Rattus norvegicus: one gene and its partners. The protein of the gene in region 2 purifies or fractionates together with the protein of the main gene of each other region. This does not show direct contact. Links are inferred from orthologs where the notes say so. Each region holds a gene or a part of one and is shown on either strand. Other genes may lie near its edges.

Evidence for each region.
Region 1: the proteins of Rbbp7 (region 2) and Zbtb2 purify together in Homo sapiens (affinity purification with mass spectrometry; 3 studies listed by BioGRID and IntAct, counting the BioPlex papers as one, with this or other methods). This does not show direct contact. The link is inferred for Rattus norvegicus from reciprocal best matches to the Homo sapiens genes RBBP7 and ZBTB2.
Region 3: the proteins of Rbbp7 (region 2) and Phf19 purify together in Homo sapiens (affinity purification with mass spectrometry; 3 studies listed by BioGRID and IntAct, with this or other methods). This does not show direct contact. The link is inferred for Rattus norvegicus from reciprocal best matches to the Homo sapiens genes RBBP7 and PHF19.

Annotation. Positions count from the first base shown.
Region 1 is NC_086019.1:43,236,153-43,242,164, reverse strand, and holds the start of Zbtb2 (zinc finger and BTB domain-containing protein 2), read left to right. Parts: upstream 1-1,844; 5' UTR 1,845-1,860; coding exon 1,861-2,033; intron 2,034-6,012. UniProt on the Homo sapiens protein: May be involved in transcriptional regulation.
Region 2 is NC_086039.1:35,552,326-35,557,800, forward strand, and holds part of Rbbp7 (histone-binding protein RBBP7), read right to left. Parts: intron 1,107-5,475; coding exon 961-1,106; intron 401-960; coding exon 227-400; intron 1-226. UniProt on the Homo sapiens protein: Core histone-binding subunit that may target chromatin remodeling factors, histone acetyltransferases and histone deacetylases to their histone substrates in a manner that is regulated by nucleosomal DNA.
Region 3 is NC_086021.1:38,589,687-38,595,961, forward strand, and holds the start of Phf19 (PHD finger protein 19), read right to left. Parts: upstream 4,169-6,275; 5' UTR 4,124-4,168; intron 1,923-4,123; exon of another isoform or gene 1,920-1,922; 5' UTR 1,914-1,919; coding exon 1,734-1,913; intron 1,318-1,733; coding exon 1,236-1,317; intron 1-1,235.

The DNA of each region.
Region 1 (6,012 bases), on a different chromosome or scaffold from region 2:
AACTGAAGGACAGCTGGGTTGTTTCTGGTAAAGTCACTACAGACATCAGTGTACAATTTTGTGTAAAAGTACATTTTTGTTTCATGGAATAAACGTATCAGAGTAGCCATTGAGCTGTCTGTAGTCTCCAGTTGTACCATCCCCCCTTCCCCCCCAGCAGCATGAGTCAAGTGATGTGAGATGTGACCGTGTGACATTGTTTCCCTGGGGACAACGGTACTGAACACTGTCTGGCCTCTTACCACTTCTTTCCCTTGTGGTGACCTCTGAAACCCATCATCCTTCCCAGTTTGTTTTGTATATTTCAGGGTTTTTTTCTTTACTTTCCAAGTACTGGCACTCTGAGGAGTTGCGAAGTTCCAGATGCGTTCTCCTAGTCCTTAGCTACCTGTCCATCCTTAGCAGAGCACTTCCCAGAGCCCACACTTGTAATTTCACCAAGTCTGACTTACCTCTTCCCCTTCTGCAGATCCCTAAGGTTTTTTTTTTTTTTCTAAACTCCTTTTGTTGTGTGTGCCTTCTGCTTAAGGCCAGGAATCATTTTTAGTGTGTTTGTATGAGAGCATGAGACTTACTCAAGGGTCTTTCTGTCTTGCCTTCTGAGGTTCAGCTGGTCCAGCACCGTCTGGGAGTAATGTATGCTGTCTGTGTCAAACATCCCTCCTGCATCCTTCTGTGGGCCAGCCCCCTCCCCAGGTTCTGTTGAAGTACAGCCCATCTCTTCCTGGAGCTCTGTGCTGCCACCACATCTTGGGGTGCGTGCAGAGGCCTGACTCCCCACCTGTTGGTTCTTAGCTGAAGACATTGTACTTTCTTTGTTTGCCTATCCACATGTTTTCATGCAAATTTGTCTGTGTAGATTTGAGATTTAGCATTTTATATTTTTCCATCTAACTCCGCACGCCTTGGTATGTTTACTTGTGTGTCCTATTGTTTCATTGTGATGGTGTTGTTTCTCGTTTCCATGTTCAGCGCTAGTGGGTGAAATTACATTAGGGTTTGGGAATTGTTTCTTGATGCTTCTTATACCTTACCAGACTTTATTACTTATGAAGGCTTCTGTATAAATTCTTTGGATTCTGTACATTATCAGTTTGCTTCTTCTCTTTCTGCCTGCAGACTTCTATTTCTGTCTTGTTTTCCACCTGACGCTGCTGTTTTCTGGGCGCTGCTGGAGAGGCCTGCACTTCGTAGCCTTGCTCTGGCTCTTGGGGAAAGCCATGCTGCTCCCTGCAGTGTGCTTTCCAGGTGTGCTTGTGGAAAGAGAGCCATCTAGGGATTCAGGAGCCTAGCAGGCTCAGGCAGCTTCTTACAGTAAACAGATGGCCCCCTGGACTTGGTAGGGGACGGAATAATGTAAATCTCCGAATTTGAAGTAGGCGCATTCAAATTTAAATGTGAACTCCTCTGCTTTCCCTGAAGGCCTGGGGCAACTTACCTACAAGTCTCAAAATCTCTTTCCTCCTCCGCAGAAGGGAGGCCCAGCTTCATTGCTAATGGTTATGCAAGCCTTTGTGGACTGCCGGTAGTTGAGGAGTCTTGGTGAAAGACTGGGCAGATTCTCAGGAATCTTTAGTGTTTGGGGACCCTTACAGGGCTGATTCTTGGAGGGACACTGCCTGGGTTTATTTCCAGCCTGGGCAGGTTACACCTCCTGAGTTGCCCTAGAGGACACATCTGAAAATAGGTCCTGTTCCAGGGACTGTTGAGCAATACAGTGAATTGGTGTATGTTCCATGTTTAACGGACTTGACATGTTAGCCTTGGTGACATGTTAGCTGGGAACATTAGGACACATTCTTATTTGTGGAACACCTTTCTTAAAAATGAAATTGTTTACTTTGCAGATTTTTTTAAAAAATGGATTTGACCAACCATGGACTTATTCTACTGCAGCAGTTAAACGCTCAGCGGGAGTTTGGGTTCCTGTGTGACTGCACGGTTGCAATCGGCGATGTGTACTTCAAGGCACACAAATCCGTTCTCGCTTCATTCTCCAATTACTTTAAGATGTTGTTTGTCCATCAGACCAGGTAACTAAAGCGGTTGATAATCTAAGGGCTGTAGACCTCCTGACGCTGGGCTCCTCTTCCCACTCTGCCTTCATTCAGACCATGAATCTCTCTGCCTCTCCCAGGATCTAGGCACCCACCCCACTCCCTAGTTACCCCACCAGCCTCTGCCTTTCTTGGTTACTAATGCTTTCATTAGCACTCGAGAATCACCTACCTAGTCTGGCCCCACCCAGCCCCTCCTCCAAACTGCCTTCCTGCCTGAGAGTCTCACCTCCTGCTCCTCCAAGCCCAATCCCCTGATTCCCCTTTGAATACTTAGTTTTAAGTGAAAAGCTGGAGGGCTCAGATTTCCTGTTCCCTCTTTTGTAATGCAAAATTCTGTCTTTGCTGATTTCTTTTCTTCTGATTTCTCCTAAATATTTTAGGGAAAGGAATCTCTGGGTATGTGAGGAAAACAATCTCCCCTCTCCCCTCTCCCGTCTCCCCTCTCCCCTCTCCCGTCTCCCCTCTCCCCTCTCCCCTCTCCCGTCTCCCCTCTCCCCTCTCCCCTCTCCCCTCTCCCCTCTCCCCTCTCCCCTCTCCCCTCTCCCCTCTCCCCTCTCCCCTCTCCCCTTCCTCCAATCTCTCCATCTTATTCTACTCTTCACCATCCTGACTCTCACCCCACCCCACCCCCTGCCTACTCTGGGCAGAAGACTGCCCTTGACCTGGCCAGCCAGGGAATCCTGCCGAGTTCTCTGTTCTCCTTGAACCTTCTTGAAAGGGCACCCGTGCCTTTGACAGCTCTGCTCATCCCATACTCTTCCAGTCCTCTGTGCTGTGGTTTCCTCTCTCTACTGCAGTCATGTTCCAAAGGACATCTCTCCACCAGAGCACTGCCCTCTTGCAGGCCATCCTCCTGTCCTCCTCAGCCCTCACTGTACCAAATGTCCTTTGTTCTTCACGGGGCACCAGGGCCTCCAGCCTGGGGCCTCCTGAGCCCTTGCTGTCTTTGCACATTGTCTGTGTGGAGCAGGTCATCTCCCTTTCCTTGGTAGGTGGAAGCTTGTTAGTTTCAGCTCTGGCCTCCATCATTCTGTTTCTAGTTACAGAACCCCACCCTGGCTGCCTGCTGGTCCTTTAGACCTGACTGTGCTCCCTCTGTTTCTCTCATTGGGCGGGACTAAAACTGAATTAAAAGGGTCTCTCCAAAGACTCCTGGCTTGCCTGTTTTCATCTTCAAGTAGGCCAGGCTTCAGATCCATTTCCGATCATATCTCATCTATCCTAGGCCATGGCTCTTCAGCACATGTCCCATTGCCCTGGCCTCACGTGCTCACTCCCATTTTGTAACCACCCATTGTCCACATCACTGTCAGCTTAGTGTCCCCAGAGACTACTTGGGATGAGGTGAGCCTCTGTCCACAACTTCCCACAGTGGAGCACTACCCACTGCCCACTCCCCACCTTTCCCTGCCCTCATCCTGGTCATCAGTCAAGGATGACTGTTGTGCCTTTCAGGAGCGCAGTGTTCACTCTAAGTTGTGCTCTGTGCACTCACCCCTCCGCTCACTTGTGAATGCCATCCGGAGACTTCCCTCTCCTACAGTAAGACTTACAGATCTACCACACCACAGGGCACACACCACTGAGGGGGGCTGAGGCATCAAAGAGCCACTTGGTAAACATCTGTAGGAGCAGGAAGGCCAGGAGCAGGGGCCTTAGCAGTGAATTGTCATCTTAGAGGGCTGGGAATGATTCCTCTGAGCAGGGCATGCGAGATGTATTCCTGTGATCCTAGCTCGAGGGAGGCTGAGGCAGCAGAGTTGTCAGGTCCAGACTAGCCAAGACCCCATCTCAAAGCAAATTCATACGTAGACTCCCCGTCCTTTAACATCGATATGCTAAAGCTGGGTTTGGCAGCAACTAATCTCAATACAGTGAACTAACTGATCTTGGAAAAGAAATGTCTGCAACTTGGAAATGTGAAAGACGATGTAATGGGTTTTTAATTAGGTGCAAGACATGTCCTTTCTTTACATATAGGGCAGTGAACAAAGATCTTTCTAACAGGGGTGTCTTTGTATGTGAGCACACCCCAGTACACACCTGTGTGCAGACTTCAGGTTCACGGTCACAGACAGCAGACAGCAGACAGCAGTGCTTAAGCAGCTCCTCCTGCAGCCTCAGGCGCCTGGCCTACCTCTAGGCGAAGATGAGAAGTTTCTGTCCTTCAGTCACCACTAGGTGTCTCTATCTTTTCTCTGTAGACTAAGCACTGAAGAGTAAAACTTGCTAAGAATAACTGCTGACTGTGGTGGCCGTGCCTTTCTTTAATCTAGTACTCTAGAGGCAGCGGCAGGTGGATCACTGTGAGGTCAAGACTGGCCTGGTCTTCATATTGAAACCCTGTCTCCATTTTTAAAAAAATGTTTAACATTATTTAAAACTCTCACCCTAGAATTCTAGTGAAGGAGAAACTGACCTTGGAATTACTGTTTGTGATTGTGCTAACCCACCCTTTGCCATTCTCCTGCCTGGCAGCTGTGTGCATCTCGGAGCTTAGGTGGGACTGCTTGTGTGTATTGTAGAAGAGAAGTGACAGTCGGGCCCCTGTCACATTAAGTGGATAGGAAGAAGGAGCAGTCCAACCAGCCCCGAGGAAAGGAGCACAGGATTGCAGTAGCCGAAAGTCACAGAAGAAACTACGTGTGTGTGTGTGTGTGTGTGTGTGTGTGTGTGTGTGTGTGTGTGTGTGTGTACACATGTGCTTGCTGGGCTACCCCAGGGACTCCCAGCTTCCTGCCTGTAGTGTTCCACCAGTGCTGCCGAGCCAGCAGCCCAGTGCTCACTCCTCAGCCTGGCTGAAGTGTATGTAGTACTTACTGGCCTCCTGGTTCTGTCCTTGCACCGTCAGGAATTACACACACTTGTTTAAAATTGTAGAGGCTTACTGTCAGCAACAACTTCCAAGCAATCAATAGAATGGGCCGTCCAACCACAGCGAGCAACTACAAAGCCCTCTGGAAAGGGGCCCCGCTGGGTAGGACTGGAAATGCTGGAAGGAAGCCCCGACTGTACTTCCCCTCCCTTGAGCACCACATCCATCCATCTCCTGGAGAAATACACATCTCTGGGGGCCTAGGTCTCTGAGCTCTGAGCCTCTGCCTGATGATGGCAGTGGCTCCACGCCCCTTTAGTTCCAACACTGGGAAGCAGGAGGTGGATCTCTGAGCTCCAGGCCAGCCTGACCTACAAAGGAAACCTTGTCTCAGACAGAGTAAGAAAGAAAAGACTAAGTAAACAGGAACTGTCATACTGGCACTGGGTGCTGGGTTTTATGCTTGACTCTGGTATTTTGTAGTTAAGTGTATGGAGTCTTAAGTCTTCATGAAATATACACCTTGATAGGGGTTGGGGATTTAGCTCAGTGGTAGAGCGCTTGCCTAGGAAGCGCAAGGCCCTGGGTTCCGTCCCCAGCTCCGAAAAAAAAAAAAAAAGACAATATACACCTTGATAGCCATCCAGGTCCATATGTCTGGTCAGAAGTCTAGAAATCAACCTTAAAATCATGTTAGCCTTTTTTCTTTTTTCTTTTTCCTTTTTCCTTTGTCTTGCACTGTAGCTAGGCTGGCCTTGAAGTTCAGACAATCCTCCTGCCTCATCCCTCTGTGTAAGTTTAGAAGATGGGGTATGCTGTTAATATTTTAGTATGGAGAAAGATGATTTAAATGGTGAACATAATTGCTAAGCCTGCCAAAAATATCTTTAAAAATCATGGATGATCTTTTATGCCTCCTGCACTTCAGAGATGTGTATCTCATTGGCCTCGGGAGATGTTAGAAGTTCTCTCAGTAGTGATGGTCTGAGGAGAGTCCCCACTTCTTCCTTCACTCTAAGCTCTGAAGCATCCTTTAGGGGACACTGTTTCTGAAGTGACGTCAGTCTAAAAGGTAGACAAGCAGCTGACCACCATGCCTGCAGGTGCTTTACCACATGTGGCCTGCAGCTGCTCTGG
Region 2 (5,475 bases):
ACATGGTGCCCACAGGCCCAAAGAATTGGAACTAGAGTTACAAAGGCCTATGAGCTGCCATGTGGGTGCTGGGAATTGAACCCACATCCTATAGAAAAGCCAACAGAGTTTCTAACTGCTGTTGAGCCGATTTTCCAGTCTTAACAGTACAGTACTTTAAAGTATTTTTAAAATATTATCTCTAATCAAGAAAAATGTGTGATGGCCTGGCTTTATTAATACATACCTGGTTTTGCAGGGTGTTTTGTATAGTCAAAAACCAAAACATCAGAAGATGGTGTTTTTGTGGCAATGATGTGTGGGTTCTGTGGCATATAACGAGCGCGATTTACTTCTCCTTCATGATTAATTTTAATTTCACATTCAATTTTTCCTGTTACAGAACCAAAGCCACCAAATTCTAATGTAAGGAGACAAACAAAACATTCAGGATTAAAAATCACAAGTCATTTAGTGCATCAACCCAACCGATTTTACCCTGTCAGAGTAGAACACAAATTGAAGAGAAAAAGAAACTCTCCAAAATACAGGTTACCTGCTATATGAAATTTATTCTCAAAGCCCATTTTCAATATAATGGATTGCTTACCATGCTAAGTTAATAGTTTGTTCTACCTTGTGTATTAAAAAAAAACTAAAAAATTAGCCTTTTTATAGTTAAGATCTGATTATTAACAAAAATCTCACCTTCCGTACTGGTGCATATAGTTTTTCTTTTCATTCTTAATTGCTGAGAATATTATAAACACACTATATTGTGCTTAAACAATTTCCTATGAACCTTTCATTTCGCTAGACTAATCCTAATTTCTTGGTACTGTAAACGTTATTGTGAAAACCTCACATGTTGTGTTACTAGTTCTTTAAAAGTCACATTGCTAAGCCAAAAGCTAACTACAATATATATGCCAAGATGAATACTCCCTTTGACATTAATATTGAAATACACAGTATACCCACCTCCCTTGTCACTGTCACAATGGGAAGCATCAAACTGTGCATCATCATTGGGAATATGAACTCGAGCAACCACCAGATGATTCTGCTCATCAGATGTATGGGTACCCAGCACTAGCCAATGAAGGGCATAATCCTTTCCTTCTGGTCTGTGTAAGAGAAAAAAAGTCAAATGACTCCTATAAGAACTTTGAGCTGCTAACAAATTCAGTCTGGTTCCCTCCAAATTAACATGAACATTTCTTTAGCAAATATTTACTTAACACCAACCATAAACCTGCTTCCCATTTAATTACCAGGTTTATTATCCCCATACTTTCAAATGTTTTTCTTTCCTTCCTGAAGAGTCAGTCATCTTCCTTGCCCTCAATTATCATTGTAAATGCTACCTTTCCTAGGACAACTCACCAAACACACTAACTAGAAACCCATCACTGATCTATACTCATATCTAGACTTCTTAAATTGTACCTTCAGCCCATAGCTGACATTTTAATATAGCCAACATTTTAATATGTTAGATAGATGTTTCTGTTTTCCCAGTAAGAGGCAATGAGGTAAAATGGAATGAGTGAAGTGTTGAGGGAAAAAATGGGGGTTTATATCCTGGTGCAAACTAAAACTAGCTATATGCAATTATACGCGCAACCTCTCCAGTCTCATTTTCTTCACCTAAAAAAGAGGTTAAGTGAAATGACATGATATAAAAATCACTTATTTTTGTTTATGATACCTATGCAGTGAACATTCTCAATTTTAAGTGTTTCCGTTACCTTGCTCAACAGAAATTCACCTTGAAGCTGAAAAACTTGCCAGTGCCCCTTGGCATCATGGTCCAAACAGCAATTTTTGCACTGCTAAGTATCAACAACGCTTTCCCATTGTCTTATTAGAACAATTTTCAACTGTGCCCCACTGTCCCACAGAAAAGTAGGAGTCTACGTCCCAATACCAGACAAGTTAGGTCATATATGTTTGTTCCTAAATTTCACTTTACAAAGGAATCAGTGACTTTCTAAAATAGCAACCAAAAGAGTTGGAGATTATTTTTCTTCCCCCGGGAGCTGGGGACCGAACCCAGGGCCTTGCGCTTCCTAGGTAAGCGCTCTACCACTGAGCTAAATCCCCAGCCCCTTAGAGTTGGAGATTATTTACATGCATGTCATTTAGTAATAATTTACAAAATTAAGTTCTATCCAGTTAGGGTTTGGCTTATGGTAAAATAGAACACACACAACTCCTGAAAGGGATAGATAGAAGTGGCTAGCAATACTAGGTTTGAAAGGTAGGTATTAGTTCATGCATACACAGTAAGCCAAAAATATATGGCTTGGGGGGACAGGCATATCTATATTTACTCAGAAAAATTAACTTGGAAATTTTAGGCTTTGGCTGGGTGGCCTACATCTATAATCTCAACTATTCAGGCTGCTAAAGCAGAAAGATCACAAACTAAGGCCTGACAGGACCACGCCCTACGTTCAAGGCCAGTGTGCACAACTAAGCAGAGACCCTGACTCAAAAAAAGGTAAGAGTATTATTGAGAATATAGCTTGGTACTATAGCATTCAACTCTCATGCATGAAATCCTGGGTTAATTTCTAGTGTTGGAGAGGAAAAGGCCATAAATAGTGAACTTTAGAACTTGGACAAACCAAAATGTTTACAGGGAACAACAGTGGCTTAAAAATGAAAGGGATCTTAAGTATATCTCAAAAGAGATTATAGGAGAGAAAGTGACTAGGAAAATGAAGACCAGTAAGTATAATAAAAGCAGGTAGACAGTTTATTATAGGGCCTTTCTAAGAAGCACTGTACCAGCTAAACTGGGGGAATCCTAAAATTCAATTCAAATTCAAATATTCCGGTTTCACATGACTTGTTTCTCACATAAAGATTATTTTTACATTTTACTAAAAAGTCCTTTATCTCCACCATTAAATCAAACCTACTTCAGACCATGGTGGCATACAACTTTAATAGTAGCACTTAGGAGGCAGAAGCAGGTAGAGATCTAAGTTTGAGGCCATCCTGGTCTATAGAGTTGAGACATCTAAGGCTACACAGAAAAACCATATCTCAAAAAACAAAAACAAAAAAAAAAAAAACAAAAAACAAAACAAAACAAAAAAAAAACAAAACAAAAACAAACAAAAAAACCCAAAACCCAACCTACTTTCCTGAACTCATGATATTTTCCTCAGTATTGGACACACTGATAAAAAAGGCACTGATAAAAATAACAATCTAAGCTAGGCATGGTGGTACAGACCTTTTTTTTTTTTCTTTTTTTCGGAGCTGGGGACCGAACCCAGGGCCTTGCGCTTTCTAGGCAAGCGCTCTACCACTGAGCTAAATCCCCAACCCCCAGACCTTTAATTCCAGTACTCTGATGTTGAGGCAGGTAGTCAATCTCTGGGAGTAGACCCCATACCTGATCTACACAATGAGGTTCAGGTGAGCCAGAGCCACACAATGAAATAGACCCTATCTCAAGTTTTAAAGACCCCCATTATTAGCCTAGTAAGAGTACCAGTGGAAGGGGAAGCCCTTGGTCCTGCCAAGACTGAACCCCCAGTGAACGGGATTGTTGGGGAGAGGGTGGTAATGGGGGGAGGATGGGTGGAGAACACCCATGTAGAAGGGGAGGGGGAAGGGTTAGGGGGATGTTGGCCCAGAAACCGGGAAAGGGAATAACAATCTAAATGTAAATAAGAAATACTCAAGTTAATAAAGAAAAAAAAAAGACCCCCACTTAATCTCTATTACCAAAGTCCTTTTACTGTGTAACTGCAATGTTAAAGAAACTGACCCAACAATCACAAAAATAGGCTCTATTATAAGACTATTTCCAGTAGCACTGTTTATAGCAGCAAAGGTCCAAATACCACCTAAATACCCATTAACAAAGTTAACTGTGACACAAATTGTATTCATAAGTAGGACTGTGTGTGGCATCTTCGTAAAGAATGGGTGTGACAGCATACTGATAATCTCCAATATATTCTTTTGTTTGTTTTGAGAGACAGGGTCTACGTAACCCTGGCTGTCCTAGAACTTTGTATGTAGACCAGGTCCTGCTGTCTATCTCCCAATACTGAGATTAAAGTTATCTGCCACCACAAATTGGCAACAACTTGCTATCATAAAAACATCCCATGAACTGAAATGCAGAGGTCAGTTGGTCTCAAAATAACAAACAAAACAAACTTAAATAAGGAACCCAGGTTTGATAGTGCAGCATCGTAGTTACTCAGAAGCTAAGGTAGAAGATTCATGTTCAAGGCCACTCCCACCAACTAAATCTTTATTTAAAAAAAAAGTGTTTTTTTTGTTTGGTAATAATGCTTGGTGGTAGAGTGCTTGACCACAATTATGAGGCTCTGGATTCAATCTTCAGGACAAAAAAAAACTAGTGCACTTCTATATTCTCTCAAGATGGGCCAAAAATTTAAAACTGCTTTCACTAGAGCAGAGGGAATTAGGAGTACTGGCATGGAAGGGAACTTATTCTCTGCGCCGTAGACTTCTGTACTGACTGTTACTTAACAAGGAACAGGAATATAATCCAGTGGCAGAATGCATGCCTTGAATGCAGTTGTGTTCACTTTCCAGTTTATAAAAACTTAAAAAAAAAATCGCTGGAGAGATGGTTCGGCGGTTAAGAGCACTGACTGCTCTTCCAGAGGTCCTGAGTTCAAATCCCAGCAACTCATGGTGGATACAACCATCTGTAATGGGATCAGATGCCCTCTTGTGATGTGTCTGAAGACAGCTACAATGTACTTATAAATAAATATTAAAAGACTAAATCAATTGTTCAGACACAAGTCCAAGTAATTATTCGAAAATATATTAAACATAGTCTTGTTACTCAAAGACAGGCGTTTTGTTAAAAAAAAATCAGCCAATATTTCCATGACTGTATATGGTAATAAACTACAAGTCACTCTATACCCTCAAAATAAAACCCAACAAAGGACCATGGTGCTCAAGATTCAATATGTACTTTGTGATTTCTTCTTATAATCTCCAAACCTCTGAACCCCCCACAATTTTATCTCACTTTCTTTGTATACAAGTTAACATTTTCAAGGTAGAACATGGTGGTGCATGACTTTCTTTAATCTCACCCATTGGGAGGCAGAGTCCTCTCTAAGAAAGGCCAGCTTATTCTGCATAGCAAGTTTTAAGCCAAGAAGAGCTACAGAACAAAATAACATGTCTCAAAGTAATTAAATATGTAATTTATTTATCTTTGGTTAAGCTAAATGTTAAACCTCACTTCTCAAGACTGAACCCCAGAACTCACATGGTAGAAGGAAGAACTGACTCCTAAAAGTTGTCCTCTAACCTACAAAACCATGGTGCATCCATCACCATATAAATGTGAAATTAAATGCTGAGGGCAACATACAAAATTATAGGTTGAGCTTCCCTAATTCAAAATGCTCCACTTATCTGATATTTGTTGAATACAAGGCTACTGGTGGAAAATTCCACACCTAACCTCATGGT
Region 3 (6,275 bases), on a different chromosome or scaffold from region 2:
CCTAAACTCTGAGAAGTCGAAAGATCTTTCTTTTGCTGCTGGAGTTTTGTGCTTTTCATAGAAGTGTAACCAGCAGGGGACGAGCATAGATTTTTATCTACAGAAAACAGATTTAGATTGCAAGGGACTAGAGTGGAAAGAAAGAAAAGAAAAACAAACTGTATCCCCTGGCCACAGATTTTTGGAGAAAAAAAATTGTTTGTTTGAAAGACATAAAAACTGACTTCATCCCATGGCCCGTTTGGCTGGCTTCTCGGAATAATCTTTTTCAGTAACAGATTCTTAGAAACTTCCTTCCTACAGTGCAGAAGCACTGGCGTGAGCGTTCTACACGCATGTGTCACCAACCATCAGGCGAAGCCAGGGTTTTTGATGCCTCCTCCTTTCAGCTGACGAAATGGGGCCTCAGAAAAGTGCCATCACTGCTCGAGGCGAGGCTGTGTAGCTTGGCAGTAGATAGATCGGGGACGAGGTCCAGAGTCCATCCGACCCTAGAACCTGCCTCAGTGGGTGACATCTGTTCTGCTAAGGATAAGTGATATTTAATACGTATCTTCTCTCATGCCAACTGTCATAGGTGCTATGCCATCATCATAGTTCCATGATAAAGACACATGGGTATTATGTCTGGTGATCCCCCAAATCTGTCCAATGTAGATTGAATGACTCCAACTGGCTATATCTATAACACGGTGTCAGCTATCTGAAGGCAGGGGTGGTACTCACTCCAACTCCCCTCTCATCCTCACAGATGACCCTGCTCCATCTCAGCTCGGCCACTCTCATGCTTTCTTGACTGCACCTCCCCCACCTCCCCCACAGGTTCTCTTCACATGCAAATAGGGAACACAGTTCAAATCTATAACTGACACCTCCCTCTCCTCTGGCCTCTTCCTCCTCTCTAGCTCTAGGAGACCCAGAGTAGCAGATGCCATTCAGGAAGGACTCAAACTGCAGGCCCGAGACCCAGTCCAAGCACTCTTGGTGCTAATAAATGTCCAAGCTCCTCTTCCCTCTGCCCTGCTTCCCTTTTGAAGTGTGAGCATTCAGAAAGGAGATCCAGGAGTTGACATTTAATTATCACTTCACTTCTAGACGGGCCCAAGATGAGTACTCAAGGCCTAGGGTTCATGGACTAGAACAGATGCCAGGAAAAAAAAGGGGGTGACAGAGAGGGCAAAACTGAAGGCAGAGAAGAGGCATGGGGGAGCGGCAGTGGACACTTGGACACTCACCATGCTGGATGTCCTTCCAAAGGACCCAGTATTTGGAATTGTCTTCGAAAGTCACGAGGCAGCTTTGCTTAGGACTGCTGACCTGAGGCAAAGAGAGAAGAAATGTGGAGGAGCAGCAGGGGGGAGCAGCAGGAGGGAGCAGCAGGGGGGAGCTGGGTCTCAGTCTTCCTCTGTCTCTCTTGGCCTTGTGCTTCAGAAGACAGGCCAGAAGGAGAGCTGTGTTTCCCACCTCAGAGTATGGCCTTTAGGAACAAGGGGACGACTTAATGGGGATGCTTTTAAGGATCGAAGAGCAGGTCAGAGAGTCATCCATGCCCTGCCCAGTCTGGTGCTTGCTTAAGTTCTTTGAAGAACCTGCTGGGCCACATTGTGCCTGAGGACTTGGAGCCTGCAAAGCCAAGCTCTGGTCCCTTCCACTTTCAGCTTTAGGCATGAGGGGTAAAAGGAGATGAGCAGAAAAACACAGGAGCCTGGGCCCAAGGACCAGAGCAGACTTACCCGCTTGATCTTGCCAAGGTAGTATAGCCCGTCAGTCCACCGGCATAGCACAAACTGTCCCTCTGTCACCTTAGACATCAAGTCTTTGAAGTTCTTTTTGGTCTTAGACGGGGCCCCCTTGTTAGGGCTGGTGGCACCAAAGGCTTCCTGAGTCCCTGGTTCCAGAGCTTGCGTCTCCATCAGCTTCTGCTGACACCGGAGGAGAAAGAGCAATATTTATCTTGCTTCCTGCTCCTGAAATCCAGTAAGGCTCTCAAACACGTTTATTGACAGTACAACTCTGGGAGGGAGACATTATTATCTCATTCTACGGATAGGGAAACAGGAGATACAAGAAGAAGTGGCTGGTGACCCAGAGGCGCAGCCATGGCTCACAGGGAGTCAAGGAGGCTCTATACCATACCATGCTGCTAAGAGAGTGTATCTTCCCGCCATACCTGGCGCAAAGGACCCAGGGATCTGAACCCCACCTCATGTCCAGGAGGCTGAAGCTTTGTCCCATATGTGTGCTCAGTTCCAAGGAAGCAAGCACTTAAAATGTTATGTTTCCCCTAAAACATCTTCAGAGAAAAGCCCACCTAGCAATGAAAATTCTTGAGGTGGCATGGGAACCGCATAACATAGCCATGCGCCCCCCCCCCCTTTTGAAATTCCCCTTTCTGTTCTCGATTAACCGATAACTTCATGGGAACCAGTTTGGGGCATTTAAACCTGCCCATGCTTTTATCCACATACACATTGGCTCAAAGCAGCTAAGCCATTGCCATACCAGTCTAACACATCTGGCTCTCTACATCTCATTAAAGTGCTGCCTTTTGCTTCTCTGTTCCTGATAGAGGTATCACCGTGGTGGTGGTCACTTCTCCAACCAGTGCACTGCCACAGCGGGCTTTTTGGACAGTGGCCTGAGAAACTCCGAATCTCCACCCTAGAGTGGTTGGAGCATCCTGCCCTATTTCCCATCATGTCCTGCTTCCAACTCTTGTCTCATTTTTCCTCATCAGCTATTTCATTCACCTTTTCCAAGCCTATTTTCCTGAGCCTGTTGCTTGCTACTGCCTGGTACCTGGAACGGGGAGCCTCAGGGCACCCAGCTTCTCTATCTGAACCTTCCAGAAGGTTTGTGGCTTCCCAAACCTTCGCTGGTGGTCAGTTATTGCTTTCTCCCCTCCGTGGTCGTATTCCTCCACACATACTCTCCTAAGATCAAATACAGTTTCCTTATGTTGTAGTGTAAGGGGATGGTGGGGGGCGCTCCTGTTCAGGGTTCCTCCCTCTGCCTAAGGTGTTGGGCACCTGGTGCCCTGCCAGCCCACAAGAAGACAGCTCCGGGTGTGTTTTCATGTGAGTGCCTCTTCAGAGACTGTAGGATAGTCTATGGCAGTGTGCCAGTCCTATACGTAAAACTAAATACACGTGGGCATGTGAGGGGCCTGGGGCGGTGGGGCATAGTCAGGATCTAGGGTCTTCAAATGATGGGAATCAACCTCCTTCTGCCTTCTCCTTCCTATCTTTTACTCCAGGGCAGAGGAACAAGCACCAGGTAAGGGCTGTAGTCAGAACTTTTTTGCCATCTCCCTGGCACTTGGCTCTTTGGGAGCTGGGAGATCCCCGCATGCTGGGTCTGGAGTGTGGCCGGCCTCGGCAGGTTCACAAACTGACATTTCCTCCCCCACTGAGATTTTGGGGGCAGGCCGGGTCGCTGCGCCCCCGAGGCCGTGCTGGGCCCCCGGGTGGTGGCCCCCCCATCTCGCCTCCATCCTCCTGGAGAGGGCCCCCGCGGGCTGTGATTGGCTGATTCAAACCCATCGGCACAGAAGTGCTTGTTTGCGGGTTCCCGTCGGCGTCCAGTTCAAATCCGCGGCACTGGGCGCGCGGGGCCGGGCGGGGGCAGGAAGCGCGGATGATTCATGCGCCGAGGCCTCTCCAGGGCGGCCGTTGGCTTTTTAAAAGGGTGTTCAGGGGAGAGGATAGCTTGCAAAAAGTGTCCCCTTCAGCTACAGGCACTCCTTTCCTCAGTTGCTCTAACTGCAAACTTTCCCCGCTCCCAGCCTATCGTAGCCTGACTTTGGACGTGAGCAAAATCCCAAATGCCCTGCCTATCCTCCCCTCCATAGCTTCAAATGGAAAAGAAAAGACACGCGGCCACAAACGGAGACCTGTCACCCACATCCTGCCCAGCGCTGGGGATGTGGCTGGGACTCCCGCTGCCCTGAGGGTACCGCTCGGGCTCCATCTCCGTTCCCATCCTACAAGCGCGCAGCTCCTCAGAACTCCAGCCCCCGCCCGGGGATCGTAGGGCTCAATCTAGGTTTCTGGGAGAGGGATCGTGTGCAGGATTGAAGCGTGAAACGCGGACACTCCCGGGGCGCCCGCAGCGCGGGACTTACCGCGAGGCAGCGCGTCAGCCGGTCCCACTTGGAGTCTGGCCACCAAGCACATCGGTGGCGGTGGTGCGCTCGGCCCAGGACTGCCCGGCCGAGTGTCCGCCCCTGGGGCCGGGGTAGGGGTCTCGGCGGGGGCGGGGCGGGGCGGGGGCGCCGCGGGGAGGAGGGGACGCAGGGAGGGAGGGGCCGGTGCGCTCAGGAAGGGGCCCCCCGGGCGCGGGGCGCCATCTTTTTCGCGTTTTCCCGCGAATTATTGACGTCCCCGCTTATGTAATTAGCAGGGGCCGCACCGGCTTTGCCATTGGAGCCCGCGGCCGGCGGGGCCCCGCAGCGCCTCCCGGGGCCGCCCCCGCGCAGCGAGCAGAGCGGGCACACGCGGAAACACAGCTGCACAGACCCACGGCTGGGCAGGCGTACACACACCACACGCGCACAGCTACTACACCCAGACCTTTCAGGACCCGGGTAGGTCTCCCAACACCTTGATCTTACAGCACGGACACTCCACGTCACTCCCCGGAGACCAGGGCAAGCCTAAGAGAATCGGACACAGGACACGCACACATATGTGTGCCATAAGTCACAACACTCAAAATGACTCTGCCTTCAGCATAGACTCCCGCGAAACCGCGTGCACGGCACACACAAGTCAGCAGCATAGAGCTCCGACACAGTGACCACAAGACCCACTCGAGTATGCCAGTCACGCACTGTAGAGATAACAGTGTAAGAGAAATAGTCACGTAGACCGTGGGCACAAACACGACAAATACGTAAAGGGCAGACCTAAGACAGATCTTGTGGATATGGCTCCAGTCAGATAAGATCTCCCTCCCTCCAGGAGAAAAGACAGAGTGTCCTCAACCAGACTCACTCTTGGCGCCAGGGCTGGAGATAACACTGGTAACACCCACTACCCGCATCTCTGCTTTCGGTCTGGACTGCCCACTGCACCTGCTAGCAAGGCCCCCTGCAGGCACACCCTGCTGGAATGCTTGCATTCTTGGTGTGGTTGTGTACTGCTTTTCCTTCCCAGAGCCTTCCCTGTTCATTTTCCAGGGGCCACACTGGTCCTCTGCTTCCTGCGTGGTGGGCAGTCTGACCTGCAGCGCCTGCCTGCCTTCCACCTTCTTCCCCCCGCCCCCCAGCTTGAGATATAGGAATCCTCTTTCACATGTCCACATCCCCCCTTTCCCCTGGGTCTTCCTGCTTCTCTGGTCTTCCTGGGGATTTGACCCACAGCAGAATCTGGTTAATTTGAGCATCTGTCTCCCTTGGCTGAGCCTGGAAAGGAAGTTGGTAGCAGCCCCACCAGACAGGATCTTCCAGCCTAGGAAGGCATAGCTACACATTGCCTTCTGCAGAGATAACACCTCTGTCCAGGAAGCTCTGTCACGAGCCCGAGGCTGCCCAGAGGCACCTTTAGGATTCCAGAGGCAGAGACAACAGAGCAAGCCTGTCTCTGTAGCTCATGGGCTGGCGCCACCTATTCTTGGATGTGAGACTCTGCGTCACTTGTTGTCCAGCTGTTGGGATGGTTAGAGGCGCTGTATACTAAGTCCTTGTCACCCCATAGGTGGGCAGAAGGTAAATAGTGAACTTTGTCCCATCTGTATCCATCCACCGTTCTCTCGTGTAGGGCTACAACTGGCTTAGAGCACACAGGCAAGTAAGGGAATTGGGGCCTGCAGTCCGGTGAGGAAGCCAGTACGGGGGAAACACATTAATGTGAACAAAGACCTTTGGCATATAATTTGGGAACTGTTGCTCTGAGGCCAGTTCTGCTTCTGAGCAGAGGGACTGTGGGTAAGCTAGTCAGCCCCACCCCCCAAGGTTTATTTATATACCCCATTCTATCTGTTCCAAAGCAGTGGCAACACTACTCTGCCCCACGGGGCCATCGCCTAGATAAAGTTAACATAGGCCAAGAAGGAGCAGGTGCTTCAGTAAACTCCAAAGCGGTGTATGAAATGAGAAGCTGTTGACACACTAAAGACAGGAGACTGTAATGTCACAAGAAACGTGGTGTCGTTCACAGTGGTTTACAAGCTAAGTTCCAAGGAGGAATTGGCATTTGGACAGGATGCAGAAACAGAGAGGCATGGATTTCAGGGGGAGGGAATTGAATGGACTGCCCCTCCCCCCCAAAAAAATT